Linked DNA regions of Tamandua tetradactyla. The protein of the gene in region 4 interacts with the protein of the main gene of each other region in a pairwise test. Links are inferred from orthologs where the notes say so. Each region holds a gene or a part of one and is shown on either strand. Other genes may lie near its edges.

Region 1 (7,811 bases), on a different chromosome or scaffold from region 4:
TTTTACAGAATCCATCTCATTCAGTTGGTTTATCTTTCTCCATCTCACAAACTTCACCTGACACTTTCTTTCCTCCACCGCCCCCCCCAGGATGCTGAATCATCAACATTAACAAATCAACTGCCCAAAGGCTACCTATATTGAACAAATTGATTTAAGATAGCCTTAAGGCATTTTCATCAGCACTACAATTCATGACGTTTATGTGACATATAAAAGTAAACCGAACCATTTCTTCCATGTGGCATTCACAAAATAAACACACCAATAAAGCATGTGAAAACATATATTTCAGCCAACATTTTGTTGAGGTTTCTGAATGAGAAATGATTCTAAATCGCTGGCATGTAAATTCTGTTTGCAATAGGACTTTTACACAAGAATAGTTATGTAAAACATAAAATTGGCAAAGATGATATGGAACTGAAGATGTGACTGGCATGAAACTAGAAGATTTCACCCTACCCTAGTGGGCTCACCAATTCCTAAGGGAGATGGCAAGTTTGTTTCATGAGAATTACATACAGCATGGATATTATATGGCCTCAAATATGCTTCAATTATACCCCGGTCAAATTATTTAGTGACCAATTGTGTTCTCTTTTTAATTCCCAAATGTGCAGCTGAAGACTTCACTAGAAATACTGGACTGGTTGGGAGGAGGAAAGAGGCTGGAATTCAGGGGGTCCTCTAGGGTACTGGCAATATTCTGTTTCTCCACCTAGGTGGTGGTTACTTGGGGAGTCTGCGTTGTAATTCTTTGTGTTCCAATGGACATAGGCTTTAGGTGCTTTTCTATATATGATATATACAAGAGGGAAAACATGCATTATTACCCAAGACAGCAGCTTTACGGCAGTCACTGTCTAAACTGTGCAGATTTAAATATTCAACTACATAATGCATTAGAGTCAGTATGGGGCAACTTTGTGGAAACCAAAATGCTTTGCTGTAAGGTCAGAAGTTAAGGACTCAAAAAGTCCCTAAAAGATCTAGCCTCGTTCACTCATTTTTACAAGAAAGAAAATTAAGGTCCAGAAAAGTTACATGACTCCCCAAAGCCTCACACCACCACCACTTCCCATCCCTGTCCTAATACTATTGTGTCTGCATAAAGCACAATTGTAATTGTAGTTTAAAAAAATCAGTCAACAACAATCAATGGAAGTTGAGTAAAACTGACCGAAAAACATGTCCAGCCATGCTGAAGGTACACATCTGCACCCCTCTCCCCAGGATTCAGCAGGGCAGGGACAGTAACATTCAACCATTGCCCATCCCAAACTTGGACAGCCAGCATTTACCCGTTTTACTAATCACACAGTACGGTAAAATGAGAAATATATCTTTAGGTTGCTAGATTACGGACCCTTTTCTGAAGAAAACTCTGAACGACCCAGAGGTTATCCTGTCTTCCCCTCTCATCTCCTCTGTTTCTAAGGCCAGGAATCAGGAGGCCTAAGAATATCTCCAGAGGCAAAACTGCTGGACCTAGCAGATAACCGCCAGCTAGGGAATGGACAGTTTGCAAAACGGCAGGTGCTTAAGTACACTTTTTAAAAATTCTCCATGCACCAAGGACCACCTCACACATCACATTCTGGAGTTCACAAGTCTGGCTTTCTTTCCATGTCTACCGAGAGCCTCTTTTCCCTCTTCTTTTAGCAGCCCACAAAATATATAAGCCTATCGGCCCGACGCAGGCTATTAAACGCGTGAAACGATTGCTTAAGCACAATTCAAATACTGGTGCCGACCTTTTGTTCCTCTTAGGTCGAAGAACCCAGAAATTTCTTTCCATAGAAATTCAGGCCTCGCAATCCAGACTGGCCTTATTATACAACAGATCTCCCTCGGCGTTTGCAATAAAAATGGACTCTAGGAATCACTTAATAGCTTTTGAGAAAAGGAGGAAGTGGAGTTTACAAATAATGAAAAAAAAAAAAAAACCCCAAAAAGCCCGAGAGGGCAGCCGATTGTGGGGTTCAAAAAGATGGAGCACATTCCGCCCAGCGCCCAGTGAAGCAGAAACTCAGCTTTGGGGCTGGAACGCGTGGAGGGAGCAGCTCGGTGGCTCCGGACTCCCCCAGCCGACCCGGCCTTAGGGATGACGGGGCTCCCGCTCATAGGCCGAGCGAAAGGCCGGCGCCCCCCGGCCCACAAATCCGCGACGCCTTTTTTGTTTGTTGTTTTTTTCCCCTAAGCTTCTCCTGGAGGTAGGGTCGCCCTCGGGCTCGAGCCACCTCTCAGGAAACGTGTGTTTGAGGGGGTAGGGTACACAGGCAGCGGGTCCACGGCTTTCCCACGCGCCAACCGGGCCGCCTCCACACGGACTTTTGCAGACGCCAACTCGAAGCCCAACCAAGCAACCACCTCCAGCCCCGCGCCCCACGCAGCGACCCAGAGGCCGCAGGCCCCGCCCACGTGGCGGGCTGCCCCGAGCGCAGGGCCGACGGCCGCCACACAATGGAGGCCTCGACGGGTCCCGCGCGCCCTCGTCACCGCGCGCCGCCGCAAGCCCCCCGCGCGCGGGAGGCGCCGGAAGATTCTAGAACCGTCCCGCCCGGTGGGGGAGGGGGGGAAACACGGGTCTCCAAGCCCGTCCGGCTGTGGCGGGCAACTGAGACCCCTCTCGGCAACCCCACTCAGTCGCCCCGGCCACCTCCAGAGACGAGTGGCCCCTGGTTTGGGCGTCCCAGTCGACGCCGGCGCGACCGCGGTTCCACCTCACTCACCCGTGGACGCCATTTTCTCTGCTTCCTCCTCGTTCTCTCAACGTCCGTCTCCCTCTCGCCTTCCCTCTAGGCGCCGCACTGCGCAGGCGCGAAGCCCGCAACCTCGGACGCTACCATGGGACCAGGCCACGGGGGTGTGGGAGGACAAGGAGGAACCTCAGCTTTCTCGCCCTTACCGCCCGCAACTCTAGTCTTAGTACTCTCTAAAGAGCGCCGGATGTGACGTGCGGGCCAAAACAGCACTGAAGGAGCCGGAGCGGCCGTTGAACAGATCTCGGTATCAAACCGAGGTAACTCTCCGCACGAAGCTGGGTTGTTCGGAATGGTTACGTCCTCTGGCTCTAGGGACCGTCTGTGAAGAGTCTGGCCTGGAGGGAAACGGAGGGCGGCGGGAAAGCTGGGGGAAGGGATCCGGGCCTAGGACAACTGCTGACTAATCGGCGGGCGGCGTGCCGGCCAGGCGGTAGGGGTCACGCGCCAGGTGTGTGAGGAATGGGCTCGGGACTCCCGGGCCTTGGCGGTGGGGTAGAGTCCTGACTCCTAGGCGGGTGCCCCGCGCGGCCTCCCCGGGGTCGAGGGCGCGCTCTGTAGTGAGTACCCTGGACACGTGGTGCGGGCAGCGTGGTAGGGGGCCGGGGGCTCATAGGCTGGGTGGGAGGTCCGAACGCTAAGCCCGGCCCCGAGAGGCCCCCACTAACGGTCGAAGTTAAGAAGGTCCCTTCGTCATCCCCATCTAACGCCCTTGTTTTTACGGAAGGGGAAACTGAGGCCCAAGGAAGTTTGGTACTTGACCCAAAGTCACAAAGTCTGACCCATACCCTGGGACCTTTAACCTTCCCACTCTCCGGAAGAACTTTTCCGTCCTTGTCTTCCCATTCTGTCTTCCCGGCTTCCTATTAAGGTAGGCAGGGCTTGATCGTTGACAGTCCCATTATATAGATGAAGAATCTGGGCCCCAAAAAGTTCAAGTCCCAGCCATGCATGTTGACGTGCAAGGTGGCCTGGGAGGGAGTGATTGTGAAAAAGTAGTAGAAGGCTTGCAGATGGGCCTTGGACCCAGACCCAGCCTCAGGGCAAGGCTCGCACTTGCAAAAGACAGGTCTCACCCCAAATTCCTTAGTGGGACCCGGAGCCAATGCATCTTTCTTTTGGTGAGCACGTATGAAGTGCTGGGTGCACCCTGGGGAGCTTGGGATAAGTGAGAGGAGGCTCCTCCATGATCTCAGACTGCCTGCCTAGGAGGAGGACAGATAAGCCAAGCTGTGCTCATAAATTAGGATAAGATCCCCAGTGTGGGCCGGCGGAGGAGGCCAAGGGGACCTTTGAGCTAGACTTCAAAGGACGAATAGGAGTTTGCCAGTTGGAGAGACAGAGGGAAGCATATTGCAGATGGAGGAGCTTTCCATATTTTTCCTGCTGGAAACTGGCAGGTGGGTTTCACTGCCAAGGATGCTCTTGGCAAGAGAGCAGGTGAGGCAGCGTTTCTTGTCTCTCTAGGGTCTTACTTCCTGGGGGGCTTGAGGCAGGGTGGCCTAGCCAGCGGTGAGGGGCTTCCAGCAGGGCTGGAGGACAGGCCGCCAGGAGGAGGGAGGACAGGCTGCCAGGAGGAGGGAGGACAGGCCTTGTCTTGCGCACTAGTGGGCCAGAGCTCGGACCAGCCAGGCTGGAGGAGTTGTTTCTAAGCCCAGGCAGTGAGCCAGTTTGGCCACCCAGAGCTGGTGACTCCACCTGCCTTCCAGGATTAGCCACTAATGTTTATTGAGTGGGAGCTGTGGGCCTGGTCCTGCTTTAGCCCATTCCTTTTGCTCTTCACCCTAGGAGGAGAGAGGCTCAGATCTGGGGAAACTCAGAGAATGGAACCTTCCTTGGGAAAGAGTAGGCCAGGGCCAGAGGGGCTGTGCCGAAGGAAGCGATTTTTCTCAATCCCGTGACATTTTGTAGAGGTGCAGGGGGCAGGACTCCTGTTTCCCTGCCTCCAACTCTTTTGACTTTACTCTCCTTCCAATCTACTTGCCCACTGGCTGGCCCGCTTTGCAGACACTGCCTTGCAGGCTCCACCCCCTGGGTCTAGGGCTGCCAAATGGCAGGAGCTCTAAGGCTGGGCACAGTGGAGGGAGGAATGGGGGATGGTGGCTGCATGAACTGACTCCCACCCAGAGAGAAGAGGGAGGCATAGGAGGGCTGGAGATGGCCCTGAATTTTCCCTGAGGGGCTACACTCCTGTTTCTGGGAGCTCTGGGCTCCAATTTGACTTCCCTGGCTCTGTGCCTTTTACCCCTGACTCCTCTTCAGTGCCCATCAGAACTCAGGGCCCTTTTTCTCAACCACTGCCCATCCTCACACAGGGGCAGGCAGAATGGCAAGGTGGCTGGGCATATGAGTTAGGGTCTGAACTCTGCCATGGTCAGGTTGTGTGGCCTGCCTCTCCAGCCTCAGTTTCCACATCTCCAACATGGAGCTGTTGGCAGGGTCATTGAGAGTGAGTCAGTGAGATAAAGTCTATGATAATAACCACTGTTACTATTCTCCTTTATTCCCAGCATCCAGCCCCAGGACCTCCCTCGACCACCCTCAGCCAAGCCATGTATGCTAGAGGCACCTCTGGCCTGCCGACCCTGGTCATGCCCCTGGCCTCCTCAGCTCTGATGCTGCTGCTGAGTGGTCTGTGGCTGGTGGGGGCTGGCCCCAGCCTCGCCCTGGCTCCGGAGCTGCTGCTGGAACCCTGGCAGGGTGAGGGCCATCCACGAGGCCTTGGAGGAGGCAGGAGACTTGCTGGGGAGCCAAGACCAGTCACTTGCCATCTCTGGGCTTTGGTTTCCTCATCTGGAAACTAGGGATATCAGCAGCAGCTCCTCTTATATCAAGGACAGTTGGACAGAGCTGCCCAAGCAGTTCCCTGAATGACTATATAATACAAAACAATTAGAATCTGATGAGTACCTATCCATCCATCCAATCATTTAGTTAGCACATATTCATTGAGCATCTACCATGTACCATACACTGCTCAGTGCTGGGGATGCAATAGTGAACAAAGCAAGGTCCTTGTTTTCATGGCATTGACATTCTGGAAGGGGGAAACAGACATGAACAAGTGAATACATAGCTGGTGCTGAGAAGAAGGTGAAATGGTGTGGGGGGAGCTGTGAGTGATAGGGCTCTTATAGAAGGCCTTCATGACAGGGTGGCATTTTCCAGAGCCCTGCAGGGGGCAAGGCTAGCAGCCAGCCAGGCAGGAGGAACAGCAAGACAAAGACTCTGAGGTGGGAATACATCAGAGTGTTTGTGGGACTGCCAGGAGGACATGGGAATGGGGTTAATGGGAGGGGGGGGGGCAGGAGCGCATGTGGGGCCTTGAGGTCTGTGGTAGGACTTCAGCTCCAACTGGAGTGCATTGGAAGGATCCCCTGGCTGCTGTGAGCAACCAACTGAAGTGGGAACGGGTTGAAGCAAGAGCCCAGTGAGAGGGTGACGGCAAAGATCCTGATGCAAGATAATGGCCTGGCCCTGGAGGCAGGGGATGCTTTGGGGGTAGTAACTGAGGGTGAGAGAATACAGGGGCAGGAGGTTTGGTTGGGGCCTGAGCTGCTCGGAGGATGGAGTTAACCACTTACTGCAACAGGGAACCCAGTGTAGAGTTTGGCTTTTGGATATGTGAAGTCTGAAATGCTGATTTTACATTCAAGTGGGAGAGTGAGTTGGCTGTTGGACACGTGAGACTGGAGGTAGCAGATTCTGTGTCAGAGATAGAAATGTGGGAGTTATCAGCATATTGATGACATCTGAAGCCTAGACTGGAGAGGATGACCATGTTATATGTCTGTGAGTGTAGACACAAAGCTGCCCATCAGATCTGGCCATGTATAGCTCATTGCAAGAGTGGCTTCCCCAGAGTGGAGGGGACAGGCATGACTAGGAAAGGCAGTGGAGGCAGTGAAGGGTGATGACTTTTAGTAGTCTTGCTGTAAATAGGAGCAGAGATGGGGCAGTGGCTGGAGAGAAAGACCTGCAGTGTGCTTGACAGCTGACAGGAACAGCCCAGGACAGGAATATCAGTGCTGCAGAAGAGAGATGACTTTGGTAGGAGTGGGATGCACCCTGCAGTGGCCAAACAGGGATGGGGCCTAGGTCCCTGGGGAAAGTTGGCCTTGGATGGAAATGTGCCCAGCTCACCCCGGGCCAAGAGAGGGCAGAGGACTCAGGTGGAGGTCGAGCAGGGTGGGGTGGGAGCCAGTGGGTGGGAGTTCTTTTCTGACAGCTTCCCTTTTGCATTGAAATAAGAGGTAAGGCCTTCAGCTGAGCATGAGGAGGGGGAGGAGGTACTGGGGGTTCCAGGAGTGACCCCAGCTAAGCACCCGTTTTCCAGTAATAATAGCTCCAATTTACATTGGAGGAAACCAAATAATTTTTGGTTTCAAGGAGGTTAAGTGGCTTGTCTAAGGTCACCAGCTGGGAATTGGGGGGGCGGGTACAAGGACTGAAACAGGCAGGCAGTCTTACCAGCACCCCTGCTCCCAGGGTGTAGGATTCAGCAAATGTGTACTTAACGCCCCCCTCCCCAGTTCCTGGGATATAGCAAGAGCCCACCAGTGGCTGCTGGCGAGAAGCCACTAGAAGACTAGTGGGTCTGGACTTTTTATAACACAACAGGGGAGTTGTCCCAGTGTTTGGAAGCCCGTGGTCCCCTCCATGAAGGTTAAGTGGGTGGACTGGCTCCTGGGGAGGGGAAGCTGGCTCAGAAGTTAGCCCTAGCGGTAGGGCAGCCCCCAACTTGCACCTATGCCCCTCCTTTCTCCCAGCACACAGGCTGCTGACCCACGCCCTGGGCCACACAGCCCTGCCAGGCCTGCTCCTGAGCTTGCTGCTCCTGCCAGCACTGGGCTGGCAGCAGGAATGCCGCCTGGGCACCCTACGGTTCCTGTATGCCTCTGTCCTGCTCGCCCTGGTGGCTGGGCTACTGGCTGTGCTCCTGGCGGGCGTTGGGGTGCCCCATGCAGCCGGGGGCTGCGGCTACATGCCCGTGCACCTGGCCATGCTGGCTGGGCAGAGTCATCACCCTGGAGGGCCCCGTGGGGC
Region 2 (8,100 bases), on a different chromosome or scaffold from region 4:
TTCAGTACCTGGTGTTGTGAGTTAAAGCCAAACTATTGCTGGATCAAAAGCCTACCCCATATGTTTATCAATGCTGGATACATTACAGTGGGAATCTACGGTTAACACAACAGAGACAAACTTTAATTTTTGCAAGAAGGGCCATTGACATAACATTTGAGAAGTTTCTAAGCATAATAAGGGCATTCATTTTTTTAAGAGCAATATTATCTATACAGTAGTAAAATTTTAATACTAGAAAGAGACTTGGAGCAGTAATGGGCAGGTGCGAACCTGAGTAAAATTGAGCAGCCGTGTGACCTTGGGCCTGTCAATGATGCTTTCTAAGCTCAGTTTTCTTTTCTGCAAAATGCAGGTACCAGCTTTGCTCCTTTCATAGAGTGTCTGTGAATATTAAAGAAAAGTAATTGGGGGCAGAAAAGATGTGCCAAAAGCAAAGGGGTTAGGCCTGGCCAGGGTCTTTACACAATGCTTTTGAATGACTATGTAGAAGGGAAGTTATCAAATTTCTGTGCACCAAAATCATCTATTAAGGTTTACAATGTACAGTTTCTATTTGGAATGATGGAAAAGTTGTGGTAATGGATGGTGGTGATGGCAGCCCAACATTATGGATGTAATTAACAGCAATGCATTATATATTTGAATATGGTTAAAAGGGGGAAATTTTAGGTTGTCTGTATATTACTAGAATAAAAATTTTTTAAAAAATCATTAGGGAAGCTCATTTAAAATAAAAGTGCCTGGCTTTCCTCCATGGCTACCAATTTGGAGTGAAAACCAGATTTCTGAAGGCCCCTGAATAGTTCTAAAGCACCACCTAGATCCCCCTACAGTGAAGGACTCACTTATCCCGGGGTGTGTGGTCAGTAGGCAGCCTTCAGTCATGGGATCATCTCAGTGGAAGAAAATGGCCTTGTCCAATGCCACAGCCTTTCCTGGGTAGCCCCGAAGCAATGGCCAATGATTAAAGATTTTGTTGGTCAACTTTGGGTCAGCTCTGAAGGCCACCCCAGATCTCCCTGGAGCATTGGCCAAGATGCCACGGGGCCTGCATCCCTCTCGATTTCTCCCTCTGCTGCTTCTGTTTTCTTCTCCTCCTGTCCCAGGGCATTGTGTCCAAAGGATACTGCTTAATAAACTCCCCAAACACTGACCTCTGTCCCAAAATCTGATTCCTAGGGAACTAATTTGCTGTTTGAGAATGTGAATCTGAAATCCAGGTCCACTTATGTTCTCCCTCACCCTAAAAACTTTCTCAGGTCCTCATTGTCCCCAAAGTCCTTCACATGGAAGTTAAGGACCTTCATGGTTTAGTGCAAATCTTTCTTTACTGTCTCATTTCTCCACATCCTCTTCATAATCCTCAAGCCAACAAGGCCAACCTTTTTTCTGTTAAACTTTGGCATTTCCATGCAGGAAGCCTTCGTGTAAGTGTTCCTCCACCATTAGCTTCCCCTACCTTTTTCCTGTTGAAATCCTATTGGTTCACAAAGATACCATTCAGATACTGCCGGAGTCTTCCTTAGCTCCTCAGGCTCACTCTGGCCTCATTTCCTTGCTTGGAGTTGTCTCGATGTTTGCATGCCCTGCTCTTAATCCTGTGTTTTCCAACATTCCATTTCTCTATGTCACTTAACCTAGTGCCCCAGCCATGGGAGATAAACAAAGCATTTGTTGGATTAGCCAATGGTAACAAAGCAGTGAATTTCTAAAATGCAAAATTGGACCTTTAGGACAGCGCCATAGACCATCTCATTGAAGGAAGCTATTGCCCCCTTCACTGCACAGATAAGAAAGCTGAAGGAACTTGCTCAAGATTACATAATTAATTAATAGTAAAAGACAAACTTAACTCAAATCTATTGAGTTTTTATTGCACATGTATTTTAAAAGTCTTTTTTTCCTATCAGGGCTCTTATTATTATTTCAAATTAGCTTATTAATTTATTTATTTGCTTACTAATTATCCGCCTTCTTCCCTCTGGGAGATAAGTCCTGGGGTACAACACCTGGGCCTATTCCAGTCGCTGTTGGTCCCTGACACAGACAGCACCAGCAGCCCCTCGGTCTTCAAGGGGAGACCCCAAGGCCAGGCCCCCATTGCAGCTGTGTCCAACCTGCACCACTCAAGGGACCCCTTGGGGCTTGGGTCTGGCCTTCAAGTACCTCCAAATGGAAGCTTCTGGAAGAAGGTACAGCCCTCCTGCCCGCGAGCTCACTGGGTCTACAAAGATGCCCCCCACCAAGGCCTTTGCCCCCTGTGAGGCCCCAGAGGACAAAGAGGCGGGTGGGCGGCGAGAGGCCGAATGGAACTGTCTGCTCATTCTGGCCTCCTGGGCCACTGTGGCCACCGCCCAGGGACGGTCCGGCGACCCGCCACCTGGAGCCCAGACCCCAGAGCCACATCCTCGGAACGACCCGCTGGGAGGACCCAGGCCTTTGGGTTCACGTTTTAAATTAAAAATATCGTACAAAGAAATCGAAAACCTATTTTGAACCACTTTTAACATAGATTATGCAATTGATTAAATTCCCTTAAAAACTTGGATCTGAATTACATATTTGATATGCCTGATTATTTTGATCACTTCAGACACTTCAAGAATGGCCAAAAGGACCACAATTTTCCTCATAATTACTGCCACACATTCAGAAGTATTCTGAAACTGAGTATAGGAGATTTAATTCACTCTAACTCTCTTTACACTTACTTTAATAATTCTTAGATTTAGAGTTTTTCCTGTTTTTGATAGTCCCCAATGTTTCCTAGTATTATTATTACTTTTTTTTTCCAAAGAGAGAAAGAGTTTATTGCTAAGCGTATAGTAGGAGAGCAGATGGCCTAGTGGCCCAAAGTCTGTCTCCCAGAACCACAGTAATTGTGATAACTTTATTAGAGAAAAATTGGGCAGGGTTTAGGATAAGGAACACAGTGGCCCCAGATGATGTAATTAGCGGTGATCTGATTATTGAGCATATGTTGATTCCTGCTTAGTCAAACAATGAATGTAAGAAAATGGCAGAATGAGGTATAGGTGACTTGTAGCTTAAAGTCTAAGCTACTGTGCATGTCAGGTGAGCCCATTTTGGTTTGATGGCTAATATTGTGTTGATAACCTCCCAGGGTTTCAGTAACCTTACAAGAACCTGCAAAAAGGTATTTATCTTCTCAAAATAGCCCTAATTGATGAAGATGGGCTGCTACATAAATCACTAAAAAAATATAATGTTTGGAGTATAATATGCACACGTAAGTACAAACTAAACGTACCCATATAATCAGTCCTCAGAAGAAGAAAGAGCATTGCCAAGTGAGCAGAAAGAGTTAGCACAGCAGGTCTGGTTCACCCAGTTCCCCTTTAAGTGTGTTACCATGGTGATGACCCTTGGTCAACTCTGAGAACTAAAAGACTCTAATGTTCACATAATGACTAGGTAATCATATTAGTCCATATCCCTAAGCACTGGGTCAAGACGGACTGTGTTTGTCATGTAAAGTAAACACCAGGATTCACGATGTGCATTGGGGGATTGCTTTGGGGTTCACACCATGGCTGGCCATGTACCAGATAAGTTCTTCCATTTAAGAGCTTTGGAACTCAAGACTCATTCTGACTTTCCTGGGCACAAACATCTGGCATAAGTCCCTGAAATTCATATCCAGAGAAGACGCTCCCTGAGATACCTGCTGAAAGAAGCAAAAAAGCTTGTTGGACTGTTTGAATGGCCATAGCCCAAATACCCCTAAAGAGAGGGCTAGAAAAATCAAAGGTGATGGTGTAGTTATACAGAGAAGATAGGATGTAGCAAATGAATAGGAATGCTGAATCATTAAACTGATATCTCTTTTAGTCTCCAGCATCTTAGAGCAGCTGGAAGTAAAAACCTAAAATTGTGGAATTGCAACCCATGCCAAATTCTGAAATCTGGCCTACAATTAATTGTGGTGCTGTGCTTTGAAATTTATTGCTTTTTTATATATATGTGATTTTTCACAAAAAAAAGAAAGAAAAAAGTAGATTGTGATGATTAAAAAATTGTTATTCCTTCGAGCCTCCCATATTCTGGAGCAGCTAGAAGGAAAAATCTGAGAGGATCATATGGTAGCCCATGACAAACTCTGGGGTCTGTCCTGTAACTATTTGTTGAAGAATGCTTTGAAAACCATTGCTTTTTCCTTTCTTTGCTTTGTGTATATGTTATATTGTGCAATTTTAAAAAGTTTGAAAAAAAGAATTAATTGTAAAAAAAAATTTTAAAAGCCGATTGGACTTCTAATGACTTTGCTGGTGCATAACTTTTTCCTGCTGGTCCTGTGCTGTATCCTATGCTGTCATAAATCTTAAGTGTGAATATAACTTCATGTTGAGGGAAGGACCTCAACCATGTCAGTTCTTCTAGCTAATTATTGAACTAGTGGGTGGTCATGGGACCGCTGAGACAACCAACATCTCAGAAGACCCCTCTTACCTCCTAAAAATCACTACCTCTTCCCAATAATAGCTACTATCTGCACTTTTTTTTTTTTTTTTTTGGAGTTTGCCCTGCACGTTTTTGGAATTATTTGAGCCTAGTGACCTCTGTTTACCCTTTTTTTAAAAATTTTTTTTATTGCATAATATAACATACATACAAAGCAAAGAAATAAAAAAGCAATAGTTTTCAAAGCACTCTTCAAAAAGTGGTTACAGGACAGATCCCAGAGTTTGTTGTGGGCTACCATATTTTTCCTTCTAGCTGCTCCGGAATATAGGAGGCATATATTCTTTTTTATCATCACAATTGACTTTTTTTCCTTCTTTTTTTGTGAATAATAACATATATACAAAAAAGCTATATATTTCTAAGCACAGCACCACAATTAGTTGTAGAACATGTTTCAGACTTTTAACATGGGTTACAATTTCACAATTTTAGGTTTTTACTTCTAGCTGCTCTAAAATACTGGAGACTAAAAGAGATATCAGTTTAATGATTCAGCATTCCTATTCATTTGTTAAGTCACTTTTGATCTTTCCATACCTCGCATTGGGGTTGTTCAGGCTATGGCAATTGTAAAATTTTTATATAGGAAGGGTCTGCCACTAATGTGAGATAGAGAGATGGAAGTATCTGATGTTCTGGAGAGGCTGGGCTAGTTTGCAGAACTTGTCTGGACCAGGGACTCATCTGGAGAGTGTAGATTTCTGGCAAGTTACTCTAGTGCCTGAAACCCTTGTGGAATCTTATAAGTTGCCCTAGGTATTCTTTAGAATTGGCTGGAGTGGACCTGGTTGGGGGTTGGCAGGTTATAATAGGTAGCAAAGTTTACCTGAAGCTTGCATAAGAGCCACCTCCAGAGTAGCCTCTCAGCTCTGTTTGAACTCTCTCTGCCACTGATACTTTATTAATTACACTTCTTTTCACCCTTTTGGTCAGGAAGTAATTGTTGATCCCACAGTGCCAGGTCTGCGAGTCCTCTCCCACACTGCCAGGGAGACTTTTACCCCTGGATGTCATTTCCCATGTAGCATGGAGGCCAATGATTTCACTTTCAGAGTTAGGCTTAGAGAGACTGAGGCCACATCTGAGCAACAGAGGTCCTCCAGAAGTAACTCTTAGGCATGCCTACTCTAATCGTCTAGGCTACCTACATAAGCTTCACAAGAGTAAGTCTCAGGATCGAGGGCATGGCTTATTGATTTGGGTGTCCCTGAAGTTTGACACAGTATCAGGGATTCCCTGATGGTAAGGCTTAATAGTTCCAGAGTCTTTCTCCCCTCCCTCAGGGGACCTTGCCAATACTTTTTGATTATCTGGTTAATATACTCTAGGATGTTTCCAGGCATTAATAATCTATACAGGATTAAAGGGCCTCTTTCTCATTCTGTGCTCTCTGTGTTTCAGTTGTTCAAATGAGCTATACAGATAGGTTGAATTAGATTATGCACTACAGAAAATTTCAGTTCCAGACCAAATAAACCTTTCTTCCATTGCTCTGAAAGAGTATGTGTGGTTCTAAAACATAGACATTGTCTTCCTTACCCCTATGCTCTGAATTACTTTAACCCTAACCTGCTTGACTTTGTTCTTATCTCTAAATATCAGGTTATATATATATCTATTTATATATATATGTCAAAGTCCAGAAATAATAATCACCACTCTGGACCTAATGTGTCTGCTCTAAAAGCTTAAAATCTAGGCTCCTGTTTTCTTATAAGCATTTTCTAAAGGTGACCATAACATTGTTGTTTTTTTGCTTCTGGCTTATTTTGTCTCACCAAATACCCTACATGTTCATTCACACCATTGCATGCTTCACGACAATGTTCCTTTTTGTAGCAGCACAGCATTGTTCATAAGTATACACCATCATTTGCCATTCTACTTCTCCATCACTGCATCCTACAGCCACCAGCATTCATCGGGCCTAACGTCCACAGTCCATCAACATTCTCAATTTTAGATAATTTCATTGCTCCGAAGAGACAGAAAACCAATAAACATACTCTGACCAAATAGGAGATCTAAACTTCCTCTTAACTCTTGTCCCTCACCCCATTATTTACCTCTGCTGTTGCTGTGGTAATGCTGATGGTCTCCTTTTGAACATAGCTCACAGCATGCAATAGCTGTTTTCCCCCTGTACCCTGGACTTAAACACTCTTTATACAAGAATCAAATCTTTGAAGTAATTCTTACAAGAACTCATTCATATTTCAAGTGTGAGTCAGTGAGATACATAGGTCTATACAATCCCTTTCAATCTTGTTCATCTTCAATATGGTAAAATTACTTCTAGACCCACTAGAGAATCACCTTCACTCCTATCTATTCCCTTGCATTGGAGTTCAACCTCATTAGCTAATGGTTCATCCATCTCTAGCTTCTAAGCATCTCCAAGTCCCCTGTATTCTATATTATAAGTCTCTGATTATACCTTCATACTGGGCATAAAAGTGGAATCATACAGTATCTGTCCTTTTTTCTGTCTGGCTAATTTCACTCAGCATTATGTCCTCAAGGCTCATCTATCTTGTCATGTGCTTCAGGACGTCATTTTGTCTTTCTGCTGCATAATATTCCATCATATGTATATACCACATTTTGTTGATCCACTCATCTGTTGATGGGCATTTGGTTTGTTTCCGTCTTTTGGCAATTGTGAATAATGCTGCTATGAACATCGGTGTGCAAATGTCTGTTTGTGTCATTGCTTTCAGCTCTTCTGGGTATATACCAGGTAGTGCTATTGCTGGGTCATAGGGCAGCTCCACATTCAGTTTCCTAAGGAACCTCCAAACAGTCTTCCATAGTGGCTGCACCATTGTATCTTCCCACCAGCAGTGCATAAGTGTCCAAGTTTCTCCACATTCTCTCCAACATTTATAGTTTCCTGATGGCTTAATAACAGCCAATCTTATAGGTGTGAGGTAGTATCTCATTGTAGTCTTGATCTGCATTTTCCTTATAGCCAGTGAAAATGAGCATCTCTTCATGTGATTTTGAACCATCTGTATTTGCTCTTCATAAAAATGCCTATTCATATCTTTAGCCTATTTTATAATTGGATTGTTTGTTCTTTTGTTGTTGAGTTGTATGATCTCTTCGTATATACAGGAAATCAAACCTTTGTCTGATATGTGATTTCCAAATATTTTCTCCCATTGAGTTGGCCTCTTCACCTTTTTGACAAAGTTTTCTGAGGTGCAGAAGCATTTGATTTTGAGGAGATCCCATTTATCTATTTTTTCTTTTGTTGCTTGTGCTTTGGGTATAAAGTTTAGGAAGCTACCTCCCAATAGTAAGTCTTGAAGATGTTTCCCTACATATTCTTCTAGAAGCCTTATGGTGCTAGTTCTTATATTTAGGTGTTTTATCTACTTTGAGTTAATTTTTGTATAAGATGTAAGATACGGGTCCTCTTTCATTCTTTTGACTAGTGAGATCCAGTTCTTCCATGCCCATTTATTGAAAAGCCTTTTTTGTTCCAGTTCAAAGAATTTGGGGGCCTTGTCAAAAATCAGTTGACCATAGATTTGGTGATCTATTTATGCCCTCTCAATTTGTTTCCATCGGTCAATGCTTCTGTCTTTGTGGCAGCACGATGCTGTT
Region 3 (7,520 bases), about 140 Mb from region 4:
CATATATTTTCAACACCCTGCAGTATTGACATTCCTTTGTTCTTCCTCATGCAAAAACATTTTTAAGTTTGTACATTTAGTCACTATCATTATACACTCTAGGCATCCCTAGATTATACCATCTCAGTCTTAATCGTCTTTCTTTCTGATTTCATTTGTTTCCCCAACCTTCCTCCCTCTATCATTCTCACATTGAGCTTTATTCAGTGTTCTAACATAATTGTATTACAGTTAGGTAGTATTGTGCTATACGTTTCTGAGTTTTTATGATCAGTCCTGTTGTACAGTCTGTATCTGTTCAGCTCCAATTACCCTATATCTTACCCTATTTCTATCTCCTAAGGGTCTCTGTTTCCAGTGAAATTCTCCAGTTACCCTATATCTTACCCTGTTTCTATCTCCTAATGGTCTCTGTTTCCAATGAAATTCTCCAAGTTTATTCATTAATATCAGTTCATATCAGTGAGACCATACAATATTTGTCCTTTTGTTTCTGGCTAATCTCACTCAGCATAATGTCCTTAAGTTCCATCCATGTTGTTACATACTTCATAATTTTATTGTCTTGCAGCTGCATAATATTTCATCGTATGTATCTACCACAGCTTGTTTAGCCACTCCTCTGTTGACGGACATTTTGGCTTTTTCCATCTCTTCACAATTGTAAATAATGCTGGTATAAACATTGGTGTGCATATGTCCGTTTATGTCCTTGCCCTCATGTCCAATGAATGGTATTGCTGGGTCGTATGGCAATTCTATACTTAGGTTCCTGAGGACCTCCCAAACTTCCTTTCACAGTGCTTGTACCATTTGACATTCCCACCAACAGTGGATAAGCATGCATCTTTCTCCACATCCAGGGAGGGGTTTCTTTACAGGAATTTGTCTTATCTTGCCTATGTGCAATTTTACCCATGCTCAGCACAGGTGCCCTGTTTATGTGTAGTTCTGACTGCTCAGAGGAATTTGGACGATTTTTAAAGAGGAGGTAGTTTAAATGTGTAAGGAGTGGTGACAGGCCCACCTTCTGCAAGGGGCCTGCTTACTATACTATCACAAGAAAGATTTTTAAAAAAATATGTCTGCCCAAGCCAGTTTACTATCTCTGTGTCAACTCAATATTAATAACATTACATTTTAAAGTAATATTGCATAAATTAATAAATATATATCAACAAGGCATTCTTAAACTTTTCTTGTAGTTTTTGCAGGCAATTTACTTGACACTACCAGTTAAAATTAAAATTTTCTGCAGCTTAAGTCCCCTTGGGGTAAGGTGAGAAAGGGGGAAAATTCAGCTTCCCCAAGTGGAGAATTCTTGATATTCTCACAAGCAGTGGGGACAACCAAAGCAGTAGGCTGAGACACCCCAGTCTTGGGGTTTGTTCATATGAAATTTAACCCCACAAAGGACAAGTCAAGCCTACTTAAAATTAGGCCTAACGTCATTCCCAAAAGAACCTATTTTGTTGCTCAGATGTGGCCTCTCTCTTCAGCCAACACCACAAGCAAACTCACTGCCCTCCCCTTCTCTACCTGGGACCTGACTCCCAGGGGTGTGGACCTTCCTGGCTACATGGGACAGAAATCCTAGAATGAGCTGAAACTCAGCATCAAGGGATTGAGAAAACCTTTTAGACCAAAAGGGGGAAGAGCGAAATGAGACAAAATAAAGTGTCAATGGCTATGAGAGGTTCCAAAAAGAGTCGAGAGGTTTTCCTGGAGATTATTTTTACACATTACATAGATACCACCTTTTTAGTTAAGGCGTAACAGAGGCTGTAGGGAACTGCCTGAAAATGTAGAGCGGGGTCCCAGTAGCTATGTTTCTTGAAGATGATTGTATAATGATATAGCTTTCGCAGTTGACTGTGTGATTGTGAAAACCTTGTGTTTCATGCTTGTTTTATCTACCTTATAGACAGATGAGTAAAACATATGGATTAAAAATAAATAAATAACAGGGGAAACAAATGTTAAAATAAATTTAGTAGATTGAAAAACTAGTGATCAATAGAAGGGAGGGGTAAGGGTATGGTATGTAGGAATTTTTTTCTGTTTTCTTTTTATTTCTTTTTCTGAACTGATGCAAATGTTCTAAGAAATGATCATGATGATGAATATAGAACTGTGTGGTAAAAAGAAATGTTCATATTGTATGTTGATTGGTTTTATTAATAAAAATTAAAAAAACATTTTCTGCAATTTGATTCACGTTAGAAAAATGTATCAGCATTTATTGATTTGTATTATTGTAAAGATTTTCATTTAAAATCAAAATTCTCTTACCTGTCTAACTAGGTCACAAATAAACCTTTCCTTTTCTTGAGGCTTTAGATTTAGCTCATCCATGTGCAGTGTGATATTGATGATAAAACATAAATTGCACTGCCATTTTTTGTCTTTGATTATTGAATATTTGGCAGGCATTCCTTTTGTTTTAAAAAAGTCCTGAACTGAAGTTAACAGTACAGTAATCTTGTATAAAACTTTTTCATGACTTAGCCAGTATGAATTGATGAAGAACGATGAAATCATAAATCAGTTCTCTATTTCTTTCAACATCCATAAACTGTCAGTGAGTCATCGCATTTGCACACATATTCTGAATGAGTTCAACAACTCCATTTATGGTACTTTTCATAGGGTCTGCTTCGGAATATTAAGCACAATAATTTTAGCACGCACATAGTACATACTCAATATCCATATTTGAGTAGCAGCTACTATATATTGGATAATGGAACTCTAGACTTTTTTTAGGAAACATTTTCACATGTATGTATGCATCTGTAGTCTGCACCTACAGATACACACTCTCCACCCTCAGAAATATATAACTTTTCATATATTTTGTAAGCATAATGACCTACACTGTATTTATTGTTATTTTACTTGCTCTTTCCACTTACCGGATGAAACAAACTTGGAGCTTGTTTTATGTTAGTTCATGGAAAACTGGGTTCTTTCATTGTAGTGCTGCCTGGAGTAGAGCAGTGCATAGTCTGCAGATGATGGCCTTTGAAGTTACTTTTATTACCATGCAAGTGCATAAAATGCTCATTTGAGTATATTCTAAGGTAGAATTGTTACCGAACAGAAACCGTGGATTGTTCTCCCGGATGCGCTCAATAACCAATTCCTGAAACATCAGGGTTTCAAATACAGAGTTTATTATAGCACATAGTAGGAGAGCATATGGCTTTAGGGCTCAAAATCTGTCTCCCTGTGTTTAGGGAGTTCAAGGTTTTTGAGGATTTTAGCAAGGGAAGATGAGGTCATTTCAAATACCTTGTCCAAAACAGAAAAGGGGACTGTGCTATCATTATCATTTCAATAGGAGAACATAAACTGACAGGAGGGGAGGTAGAGCTGTCACTTCAGTACTCAAGGTGTAAGCCAAAAGGAAGGAAGTAGTTAATGGCTGACTTCATTAGCATTAGGGCCTTTGCTCTACAAGAGAATGACCCGATAAAGGGCCTAACAGCTCTTACAGTCACAAAGGCACAAGATATGAGGGCTTTTACACTCATTTCAGTTATCAGGCAGCTAAATTATAGTTTAGGGTTTTCAGATATTCCCTTGTTTTTACCCCAGTATTCCAGAAAGCAAAAAGGAATATGACTCAGTAATCAGAATCATCCCTGAAATCCTAATTTCTCAGTTACAGATTCTAAGAAGGAAAATTTTGAAAATTTTATGTATGTAAAATATTAATAGACATATTACTAAACAAAAGCAGGGAGTCCTCAGCTGATACACTCAAATGAGGAATTCCTGAGGTACTGGGGTTTCAAAGAGAAAGTTTATTGCTAAGTGGGAAGCAGACCAGATAGCCTAATGGCCTAAAAATCTGTCTCCCCTAGTCTAAGGAGTTTAGGGTTTTTATGGATTCAAAGAAGGGAAGATAACATTACAATAACAAGTATAAACAAGGGCTCAGACTAGTTGAACAAGTTTCAGTAATATAAAGTATTAACTTGTGGCTAATCTACAATATACTAGAAAGTAAAAAATAAAATCTATATAATGATTCAGTAATCACAGTGAAACTCCTGTTATCAGTACAGAACAGTACTTTCCCCTACATCATCATCCATTCTTGACATTTTCAGTCTTCCAGCATTTTGCCAGTCCTTTGGATGAAAATCTTTTTTAGTATACATTTTCCTGATAAGTGGAGATTGAACATTTTTTTGATATTTTCATCACTTCATTTTTTAACATAATATCTGTATATCTTTTGAAAATAACAAAATATTATTTTTAGGAAGTATATACCCTGACAGTGTTCTTACTTACCTTTGTTTTCTTTTTTTAAAAAGCTCAGAAAAAGTTAAAATGACTTTTAGTACCTGTGGTCAAGTTGTTGTTGGGGCAGGTCATTTGCAATTTGCACCTGTAGGGAGAGAAATTATTGGCACTACTATTAGTTTTCTACAATTTATGGAGCTGTAAAACTGCTCTAAAACAATGAAAGGCTACCACCATTGTAGAATCAGATTACCCAGTAGGGTACACTAAACAACGCCTGGCATTTCTTAAGATATTCAGCAGTCTTTTACTTTTTTTTCCTGTCAGTTAGTTAACACACTTAAAGTTTCTAGCCATTGTCTGGTTTATAGTGAGAGCTCAGTAAATTTAATTTGCTTCTCTTCTGTTGAGAGAATGAAAAACAGGATAATTGAAAATTTCTGTAGAGTTACAATCCCCTGAATAGGGGCTGTATCTCACATTGTTTTCATAGTGCTTTGAATGGTGGTTAGGGACATTTTTATTAGGTATTTAGTATGTGACTGGATGGAATATGTTAAAGTCTGTTTTAATTCATTCCCCATATCTGCAGAAACATGAGAAAATAGGTTCATTTTGTTTACATTGTTGTTTATCATGTTTTCAGACTGGGATTAGAAAATATATTCTAAGTATGTAAAATGGTACCCTTGCAAGCATCTAGCCTAACTCTTTCCTTTCATAGCTCAAATTGTGTGAGTAGAGCTAAATAAAAAGTCCTACTCCATTTTAATAGCAAATGAGAATTTGGTGTGTGCGGTCTTACCGCGTGATTACGTTGTTTCTCACCATGAATGGTGATTTTTTACAAATGGTAAAGCAGACGAGCATATTCACATGGAATAATCCATTGCTTTAAAAATATCCATTTTTATCTGTTTTTTAGATTTTGGTTTTTTCCCAAAATTTCTTGTTAAAAGCTGAAAAAAATATGTAGGGGCTCATGTAGACTGTAAAATGAAGGAGAAGCTTAGCTTTACTGTGAATTCTGAGTGTGGGTGTAACCTAACTAGCTAGAGGATATGCAATTCCTGATTGACAGCAGGACCAGCATTATGCAAATTTTGTATGAGAGAACTGCCGCTCAGAAACAGTGATTAGGGGCTCTGTGGAATCACTACATTTGCCACTCACATCTTTAGTTTTTCATTTTTCTGTGTACTGAATTTGTAAACAAATGGCACAAAACATTCTTCTTTTGTTTTTATTAAAATGGTTCTGCGATGCAGTTTCAGTCTATCAGCTAGGCATACATGTACAGAAATCAGATACTCACTAAATTAGCTAATTTTTAGCTGTGTTCCATGCTTATCTCTAGACCTTTGTGTATTAAATCCTATCTCGAGCTGTTCTCTTTATACACAAGTGTGTTTTGCTTGTGCCTTCCTGTCTTCAGTGAGAAGCTTTATGTAGGTCAGGCTTGGCTTAAGCAGATTTCCTGAACCTGCGTCAGCTTAAGCTGGAGGAATTTTAATAAACCCTCCCCTGTAGGCGTGGGCCTAAATGAGGCTAGCCTAGTTAAGCCTGATCTTTTTCTGTTTGTGAAAAGAGCTGAGCAGAGCTGAAAGCTGCATGGTGGTTTTAGAAACTGCCTACTTAATTTGAAAAGAACGATGGTAGGAAAAGCTAGATCTTCGAATTTTACCTTATCTGAAAAGCTTGATTTGCTAAAGCTTGTGAAACCATATGTTAAAATTCTCGAAGAACATACTAATAAACATTCAGTAATAGTGGAAAAGAATAGATGTTGGGATATCATAGCGGTTAACTATAATGCAATTGGAGTAGATCGCCCTCCTCGTACAGCGCAGGGCCTACGCACCCTTTACAAAAGGCTCAAAGAATATGCCAAACAGGAGATATTGCAGCAAAAAGAGACCCAGTCAGATTTTAAAAGCAATATTTCTGAGCCAACCAAGAAAGTTATGGAGATGATTCCCCAGATTTCCAGTTTTTGCCTGGTAAGAGACAGGAACCACATACAAAGGTAAGCTTTATTTTACGTTGTTGTGGAAAATTATGGCGCCTCCTATCTATTGGGGTTTGGCTTAGTTGTGATAGATATGCATTGTAAGCATCCCCACTAGGGGAGCAATGAATAGAGTCTTTGTTTTGCATTCTTAAAAGAGGAAAGTGAGGCTATAAGGAATTTTTCTGTTGCATTTTATTTGAGCTACTTTTTGTTGTCTTTCCCTCTCTTCACCCTTCCTTCTGTAGTTTCTAAAGGTGAAGTAGAGAATAAATGAGATGAAATTTGTAACATCATTTTATAAACTTTTTAAGCTTTAAAATTAAATGATTTAAATTTCTTCTAAGAGAATTATATCATTAAAAACTATATTTCATTGGGATTTTCAATTTTATATATAATTTATAAAAAGTTTAAGGAGAGAGGGAACTTTTGCTTTTATAATCTTAACCTTTTTTTGTGAATTTCCACTGCGATTATTGAATATATTTACATTGAACTATAAATAGATCTAAAATCAGTAATTAAGTAAACTTTATAATGGCATGATTGTATATTAAAAGAGTTTAAATTATTTTTCTAACATATTTTTAATTATAAGATGGACCCAAGGACAGGAAGTATATGCCTAATTAGGGATTCAAATTACTTAATAAAATTAAGGGTTTTTTTTTTTGTTTTTGTTGTTGTTCTTAGTGTTCATTAATGGTCTAGTTTCACTTTGAACATGGGTCATACAAAAAAGGTAATCTTTCATATATTGCTTTGCAAGGATATCAAACTACTAATATTTTTTCAAACTATTAATCTTAACATACTCATAAGAACAACTGGGTATTTTGAGTGTTAAAAATAGTCAGTTTTTGGGTTAAATTAGTACTCTGTAAACCTATTTGCCTAGGAATCCTCAAAATTTTTGTCTTGCCATTAATTCATATTTTAACTCCTGGCAAAAGATAAAACTGGCAGCTATAGTTCTTATACTCTGAACCATTTAGATTAATTTAAGCTCATTGTAACCTTGCAAGTTGAGGGATCTTTCAAACAAAGCTTTACAATGTGCTTTCCTATTGGTAGAAAAAAAAGTTATTGTGGAGCACAATTATTGATTACCTGTGAAATCCCTTTGAAGTTGGGAGGGGAACAGGAAGAAAAGAACTGTTTCGTAGCCAAACATTATGTGTTATTTTGTAATTTTCTAGGAAAATGTTTTTGAGCCTAGCTTCTTGCCATATACTGGTCATGTCTAGTTGAT
Region 4 (7,799 bases):
AACTCACAGGGACTGGCTGAAAAAGAAAAAAAAAAAAAGGTAGCCTAGGAATTGGGGAGAGTTAGTACTGAGCTGACTCAAATTCTTATGTTAATAAACATTAGAGAACTATCTACCTGATCACAAGACTTCAAATTTGTAAAACAAAATGAGGGGGTACATGTAGAGCTCGTTATGCGTTATCATGAGGCTTTAGTTATAAGGTAAAGATTATTTAGTTATACAACAAAGTATCACCATCAAAGATCAAGGCACCTGGGTTACAGTTCAGGGAGTTTCAGTAGTTACAGTATTTATTTTTGGATGTTCTACAATATATTAGAAAATAAGAAAGCATCTATATAACGATTCAGTAACCACAGTCATTTGTTAACTCTTAAATCTTGGTTATAGGTATATATTACCTGAGAGAAATGTATACCTGTAACATGTTCTCACAAAAGCATATACACAAATGTGCATAGACGACTTAGTCACAATAGCCAAAAGTTGTAAACAATCCATGTGTCCATCTGGTTTATACATACAAAAGATAATTATTTAGCCATAAAAAGTAAGGAGTATGTGCTACATGGATGGACCTCGAAAACATTATGCTAAGTGAAAAGCTGAAACTTACGCTAAGTGAAATAAATCAGTTATAAAAGGACACATACTGTATGATTCTATTTATATGAAATGTCATGAATAGGCAAATCCATAGGGAAAGAAAAAGGGTTGGCAGTTATCTAGGGCTGGAGAAAGGGGGGATTTGGGACAACATCCAAAGGATACAGGGTTTCTTGGGTGGGGGGTTGATGAAAACATTCGAAAATTATGGTGATGGCTGCATAATTCTGTGAATACACTAAAACCCACTAAATTGTCTACTTTCAATGGGGATATTACATGGTCCATCAATTATATCACAATAAAGCTGTTAGAAAAAAATTCTTCAGGCCACATGTATTTGTGCAGCAATTAATGTAAATGGGCTAAATGACTAAACACACTCTATTTTCCAAATGGTTCTTGCATCTACCGCTGGGATTGGCAAACTTGTTTCTGTAAACAGCCAGACAGTAAATATTTCAGGCGTTTCAGGCTATCCCATCTGCTGCAACTACTCAACTCCACTGTGGTGGTGAAAGCGGCTACAGACCATCTAAACAAATGAGGGTGGTTATGTTTCAATAAAACTTCATTGAAAAAAAACAGGCTGCAGGGCTGAACCCCTTATCTCCAGGATGTCCCTCAATCCACACAACCACTCTACGAGAAAGGCAGGAACAGGTCTTGCCTCTGAGGCCCAAGACACAGCTAAATGACTTGTTCAGGTGACAGCCAGGCCGTAAGTGGTGAAAAACAGCCTGGACTGCACCGCGTCTGCACTCAGCACTCCTGAACGCCTCCCACCCAAGCAGTCAAGGGTATTTGCCAGGCCACAAGCATCCTCAAGTAGGTCTCCTCTCCAACATCTCAATGGCTCTTGCCAAAATGCCCCCTCTCCTTTGGAAAACCTCCAGCGACAAGCCCAGTCCTCAGGGGCCAAGCTCAATCTCCTTGCCAGTCGAAGCCTTCATCGAGAAGCAGAGACTCTCCCATCCGGTAAGGTCTTTGCAGAGCATGCAGCGGCCTGATACTAGGCACCCCTCTCCCACACTACCTCATTCATTCATTCAATTTTTTTTCCACATATGACCACCTCCCATGCGCCAGGTACTGCCAAAAGCCTCCACGACTGTGTCTGCAGCGGAAAGGAAAAGGAGAGAGCAGATCAGTTGCCACCGTGATGGAACGTGAGCAGTTACTAACCAACACGAACTCCCGGCTTTTGTCAACTTGAGAAACTCCGGCTTGTGTCCCCTTTGCTCATGCTGTGCCTCTCTGGGATGCCCTTCCTCCTTCCTGTTTACTGCTTCTCATGGGCCACTCCAGGCCCATGAGATACATGGATGAAGCCTCCACTCCCTGCTACATCCAATCCCCTCCCCCATTTGGATAAAATTCTTTTACCTAGGAGCCAAAAGGGTCCAGAGAAAACTAAGTCCTTTAACTTAAAGAGGAAGATGAGCCCCAAAGAGAGCAGTCACATGCCCAAGATCACACAGCACTCCAGCATTAGAACCAGACTTACATTCCTGCCACAGTGCCTCAAACTGCCTGGGGTGGTTTGGATTTCTGAGAGCAGGTTGTGACAGCAAGGTCCCTCACACCAGGCTCACTGTCACCTCTGGACGTGTTCTAGCTACCTAACACTCTTCCTCCTCCTCTTCACCCAACTCCTACTCATCCATCAAGGCCCAACTTTAATGCCCTATTACTCACGACTCTTTCTAGATCCTGAGCACCCCCAACATGGGAATCAGGGCGTCTCTGTGTTGTCGCAGCTTCTTTGTATTATAACTTCCTATTTAATCAGAACAGTATAATCTTCTGCACTTGACAATGAACATTCTCAAGGTGGACCACACCTGTCTTGAAACCACTGCACACCCTACCTCCGGCATAAAGCAACTAAGGGAAGGGAAGGAGAGTGTCACTACTCTTTATTCACTAAAATGAGATCCTCCCACCCAAAAACCTCTCCCCAGCAGGAGGGAAAGGGCCAAACCGTTCTTCAAGGCCTCACTCATCAAGGGCGGAGGGGGAAAGTGTCGGTATGTGTGTGTGTGTGGGGGGGGGGGGCCAGGCAGGCCAACCTTTGCCCTCCACGACCTCTCTAAGTCTGCAGCGTGACCCTGGTGAAGTCCCGATTCAGAACCCGAATCTCTCCGTCCGAAACCTGGGATCACACCAGCTTGCGCTGCTAAGGAGACGAAAGCCGTGAGCTTTGAGAAAAAACGCCCGGGCCGAGCGGCAATGACCGTCTAGGGCTGACACACCCGGGCGCCCTCCGGCCCGCTCTGCCCTAGTCTGGGCTTCGCTTTCCGGGTCTGCACAGGACCCTACCTGGGTACCCACCCTGCATGGCTGAACTCCTCAGCCCACCTTAGCCCGGCTCGGGCCCTGGCCAAAACGGAACGGACCCTGGCCTCACCTGTCGGGGGCGCGTAGGCCCGGGCCGGAGGCAAATGGTTTGGCCCCGACCCCAGGGAGGCCGCGAGGCCACGCGGGGGCCCGCTCAGGAGGCGGCGCCCCCAGCCCCGCAGCCGGAGGCAGCTCCGCCACATGGCTCCCGAGGGCCTGGGGCGACGCGCGGCGCGAAGCCGGAGAGCAGGAAACACCGAGCGAAGGAATCCCCGAATCGCGCCGTCGGGCCGTACGAGAACTCCCCTCGCAGCCTCCACGGATTCCTCAGCGTCCCCGGGACGCCGTCACCTTCCGCGTGACGCCAACGGCGCGCCGACGCTCCCGCGCGCCTCCGGCGCACGCCCCCCGTCAATCAGCATCACAAACGCGCCTGGCCCCGCCCCACCACGCCGCGCCTCGGCAGGAAGACTACAAGTCCCAGAGGGCCGCTCGCGCACCCTGCCACGTGTTTCCTCCGCCCGCCAATGGGCGGGAGCGCCGGCTGAGCCTGTTCCTGCCCCCCGGCGCGCCCGCACCAATCGGAAGGACTGGTGTGAGTGAGTGAGAGTGTGTGTGTGTGTGTGTGTGTGTGTGTGTGTGTGTGTCTGTGTGTATGTGTGTGTGTGTGCGAGGGCAAGTGAGGAGGGGATCCAGCGCCGGACGGGGAGGCCCAGCTCGCAGATCCCGGGGTCCCGGGGCTGCCGGAGCGTTGGTCCGCAGGCAGTGGGCGGGTGACCCCTCCCCACCCGCCCCCGCCGCGCGCGTGCGCGCCCCGCCCCGCCCTCCCCGCCGCGCTCCTCGGCTCCCGCGCGGCGGCGGCCGTTCCTCTCCCCTCCCCCCAGCCCTGGCTCCCGGGGACCCCGCGATGCCGGTCCGCACCGAGTGCCCCCCGCCGGCCGGTGCCGCGGCCGCCTCGGCGGCCTCGCTTATCCCGCCGCCGCCCATCAACACGCAGCAGCCTGGCGTGGCCACCAGCCTGCTCTACAGCGGCTCCAAGTTCCGCGGCCACCAGAAGAGCAAGGGGAACTCGTACGACGTGGAGGTGGTGCTGCAGGTGAGCGCCGGGCCGGCTGGCCGGGCCCGAGGGCCTCCTCGCGGCGTTCACGGGCCGGAGCCGGGCCCCGGGGCCTCGAGCCCGCGGCCGCCGACCAGGCCGGGCCGCCGGGGCCTGCTGCACCCGCCGCAGCTCACCCGGGACCGGCCCCGCTGGCGCCTCAAACTCCGCGAGCCGCGGCCCGACCTGTCCCCGCGGGCCCGGGGCTTCCGCGACCGGCTCCCGGCACTCCCTGAGCCTTCCGCCGGACCTGGCTCCCCGGCACCCGACCCCCACGGGATCCGGAGCCCCCCCATGACTGCCCCACTCCGGCCTGGCCGCTCCTTCTTCTTGACTTGTCTCCTCTGGAGTAGCCCCTGCCCATCCCTCTCGGGGGTCCCCCCACAGGCTAGGCCCATGCCAGATTCTCCCAGACTTGAAACAGGCCCCCCTTCTCAGTCCCAGGGATCCCCCAAGATCAGGGCAGCCCCCCCTCGAAAAAGTGTGGTCAGCCCTCCTACCTGGGAGTCCCTTCATTCCGTTAGCTCCCAGGAGTCCCCACCCACAGCTGAGTCCCCAGACCGTGCCCCCCTCCCCTCAAGACCAGCCCCTCGCACCCTGGGAGCCGCCCAGTGGGGCTCCTCACAGCCTGTTAGCATCTTGCCTCTTGCGTCCCCCGCGGTACCACCCACAGTTCCAGCCTCTGCATGCTCCCAGCACCCGGCTCCTCGCAGCTGCCCCCACCCCCAGGCCTCCTGTCCTAGGGTTCGCCCACTCCCTGCCCCCCCTGCTCTGGCTACTTCCAGTGTCCCAGGGCTCTCCCCCCAGACCTCCCCACCCCATACCTTCATCTTCCTCATTCCTTGCTCCAGGGAGCCCTCTTTTCTGTGTTCTTAACTTTTATCTGCACCGGCACAGGGCTTCCTCCTAGTCTCTGATACCCGCGGGCTGGGAAATCCAACTCACCCAGTTCTGTGTCTCACATGGATATTTCCTTTCTGTGTCCATCCACCTCCCCCTACCTGACCTGGATCTCGAGTACCTGCTGCCAGGCCGGACCAGGCTTTGGGGCTACAATGCCACCTGCCCTGGCCCGTCCAGCACCTCTCCCCTCCCACACAAGCGGTAGCACACATGACATTTTTCCCCAGCCCAAGGAGGTTGGTGGTGTGAATACCCCTTTTTATCTTTCCTCCCCACAAAACCATTTTTCCTCCATGCCTGCTCCTGCCTACCTTGAAACCCACTTTTCTCCCTCCCTCTGCCCCTTTTTCCTTAGCCAGACGCCCCACCTCCTAGGCTGTTCCCCCAAAGCCTCTCCAAACAGTGGTCCTCCCTGGAAATCCTACAGAGAGTTTCATAGTCCACGTGTGAAGCCTGACAGCTTCTGTGTGCAGGGAGAGAATAGAGGACGTGTCCCCTCCTTGCAGCCCTCCTCAGTCTTCTTTTATTTTAAATCCTAAACCGCTTCTCTTCTGAACAGACAGGTCTCCCAGCAAAGTCAGTGGGGGGACGTTTTTCTTCCTGCTAACTGTAGCTCTTTTATCACTTTCCATTTCACACTGTTCCATGGAAATAAGTAACTTTCTTCTCTTTTTTTTGGACCAGGAGGACTGCATCCTCATGTTAATTCTATCTTGGTCTGTAAACTCCAGGCTCTAACGTGAGCTGTGATCTCATTGTAATTGAGAAACTACTGGGCTGAGGTAGTTCAGTTCTTCAAAATGATATGTCTAATGCAGTGATTCCCCTTTGCTTTCGCTTGATATGTGAAATGTAGTGTGAAGGTGAGGGCTTTATCTTTTTGCAGCTAAACATGAAATCCTGGAAGTGAGATCCCTGTTTGGACCACATTTGGGATGAGCTTGAATTTGTGTGCTTTTTTAATTGGATGGTTTCCAGTGCTGTAGGGACAACCAGTGGGGTAGGTAGCTAAGTGTCAGAGGAGGGTCTGCCCGGCAGCCTGCAGGAACTGCTCTCGTCTGTCGTTAATGTATAATATTCCTGAACTCACGTCAAGTGCCAAGTTTCCCTTGAGCCAAGTTGAAGGTGTGACTGAGCTGCTGAGTTTGTAGAATCTGATGTTTGGAGAAACTTCTGCACTGCTGATAGGTCTCAGGACAGCCCAGAGGAAAAGCCTGGCCAAGTGCTAGAAGCCGCATGAGTGGGGTGGCTGATGGGGGCGGAGAGACAGTCATGCCAAGGAATGCCGCCCTCCATCCGGCTTCAGCGGCTGCTTGGTCACCCCAGGGACTCATCAGCGGCACGGGAATTGCTCCATCATCTGGTTTTTCAGCCAGGACTAGTTTCTTCGACTCAGCCTTCTTAGACTACTTCTGCCTTTTGTAAGGCAGCCACTTTCTTTCCCTTCCTTTCTTCCTTCTTTTCTTCCTTTTCACAGCTTTATTGAGATAGAATCCACATACCATACAATCCATCCATTTGAAGTGTACAATTCAGTGGTTTTAAGTATTTTCACCGAGTTGTGCAGCCATCACTGCAATCTAATTTTAGCACATTTTCATCATCCTGAAGGAAGCCTTATGCCCCTTAGCTTTCACCCCCCAACTCCAGCTACCACTAATCTACTTTTTGTATTTTAGATTCGCCTATTCAGGACATTTTTTAAAAGCAGAATTATACAATATGTGGTCTTTTATGACTGGCTTCTTTCACTTAGCATCAGTATTTGATTCCTTGGCCAAATGATAGCTGTTGTATGGCTGGACCTCAGTATTTGTCTCTTCATCAGAAATGGTCATTTGGGTTGCTCATTACAAACCATGCTGCTGTGAACATTCGTCTGGAAGCTTTTGGGTGGCCATGTGTTTCATTTCCCTTGGAATTGTTGGATCGAGTGGTAACTCTGCTTACCATCTTGAGGACTTACCAGGCCGTTTTCCCCAGTAGCTGCACTGTTTCCCATTCCCACCTGCAGTGCACGAGGGTTCCAGCTGCTCCACGTCGTCGCCACGACTTATTATCATCTCCCTTTTTGCTTAGAGCTGTCCTAAGGCATGTGAGGTGCAGGTCTCGTGGTGGTTTTGATCTGCATTTCCCTGATGCTCATGCCGAATGTCCTTTCAAGTGCTTGTTGGCGTACTTTCTCTTTTGAGATTCCAGTTGGAGTTCCTTAACCTTTGAGAGCTTCCAACTGGGGGTCTTTTTTTTTAATTGCTGTGACTCTTCCTGCTCTTCCAAAAAGCCGAGAGTAGATGTAGCCCCAGGTCACTGGGAAAGGAATATTAAAAAGAGCAGCTGTTGACCACAGCTGTGCAGCGAGACCTGCTTGCTCAACATTCACCTTGTTCTCTTTCCCGTTGAGATGCCATCCTGTCTTTGCATGTGGCATGTCTGACTTTACCGGCCATTGCCGAGGTCACTTTGGACAGAGAGGGAGAAATGCGTGGTTGAATCGAGGCCAAACTGAAATTCTGATTCTTGAGCATGTGATAATCCATGCAAAATGTTAGCCTCTTTACAGTTCAGTTTTTTGTCGTATTATCAAGCCTCCTTGTTACCTGATGCCCTTCCAGCTGCCGTGAAACCCCAAACTAGGTTGAGTTCAGTGAGGAGTGCGTACGTGAAATTGAGGGCCCCGGGTTGGAGCTGTGCGTCCTTGAATAGAGTTCTTGCCTGAACGTCCTTGGATAGAGTTCTTGGTGTAGATCAGCTGCTTCAGGTGACATCCAGTGCCCAGGTCAGCGTAGGAGGACGCTTACTGTTTGGCACATGGAACGCCTTCACCAGCACCAAACTGGGGGGGCACTTGAGC

What was found.
Region 1: the proteins of ATPAF2 (region 4) and EWSR1 interact in binary tests that used the Homo sapiens proteins (3 or more experiments, as listed by UniProt). The two-hybrid records come from large-scale screens. The link is inferred for Tamandua tetradactyla from reciprocal best matches to the Homo sapiens genes ATPAF2 and EWSR1.
Region 2: the proteins of ATPAF2 (region 4) and PAK5 interact in binary tests that used the Homo sapiens proteins (3 or more experiments, as listed by UniProt). The two-hybrid records come from large-scale screens. The link is inferred for Tamandua tetradactyla from reciprocal best matches to the Homo sapiens genes ATPAF2 and PAK5.
Region 3: the proteins of ATPAF2 (region 4) and FSBP interact in binary tests that used the Homo sapiens proteins (3 or more experiments, as listed by UniProt). The two-hybrid records come from large-scale screens. The link is inferred for Tamandua tetradactyla from reciprocal best matches to the Homo sapiens genes ATPAF2 and FSBP.

What each region holds. Positions count from the first base shown.
Region 1 is NC_135331.1:33,760,811-33,768,621, forward strand, and holds the start of EWSR1 (RNA-binding protein EWS), read right to left. Parts: upstream 3,137-7,811; 5' UTR 2,749-3,136; coding exon 2,736-2,748; exon of another isoform or gene 2,546-2,735; intron 1-2,545. Other genes in the region: RHBDD3 (rhomboid domain-containing protein 3), read left to right, coding at 5,318-5,465, 7,535-7,811. UniProt on the Homo sapiens protein: Binds to ssRNA containing the consensus sequence 5'-AGGUAA-3'. Might normally function as a transcriptional repressor. EWS-fusion-proteins (EFPS) may play a role in the tumorigenic process.
Region 2 is NC_135327.1:50,970,974-50,979,073, reverse strand, and holds the start of PAK5 (serine/threonine-protein kinase PAK 5), read right to left. Parts: upstream 3,372-8,100; 5' UTR 3,275-3,371; intron 1-3,274.
Region 3 is NC_135332.1:137,796,603-137,804,122, reverse strand, and holds the start of FSBP (fibrinogen silencer-binding protein), read left to right. Parts: upstream 1-4,262; 5' UTR 4,263-5,909; coding exon 5,910-6,283; intron 6,284-7,520. UniProt on the Homo sapiens protein: Transcriptional repressor that down-regulates the expression of the fibrinogen gamma chain. Represses transcription of GSK3B gene promoter via its interaction with APBA1.
Region 4 is NC_135332.1:1,682,550-1,690,348, forward strand, and holds the start of ATPAF2 (ATP synthase mitochondrial F1 complex assembly factor 2), read right to left. Parts: upstream 3,324-7,799; 5' UTR 3,153-3,323; coding exon 3,020-3,152; intron 1-3,019. Other genes in the region: GID4 (glucose-induced degradation protein 4 homolog), read left to right, coding at 3,857-4,045. UniProt on the Homo sapiens protein: Plays a role in the assembly of the F1 component of the mitochondrial ATP synthase (ATPase).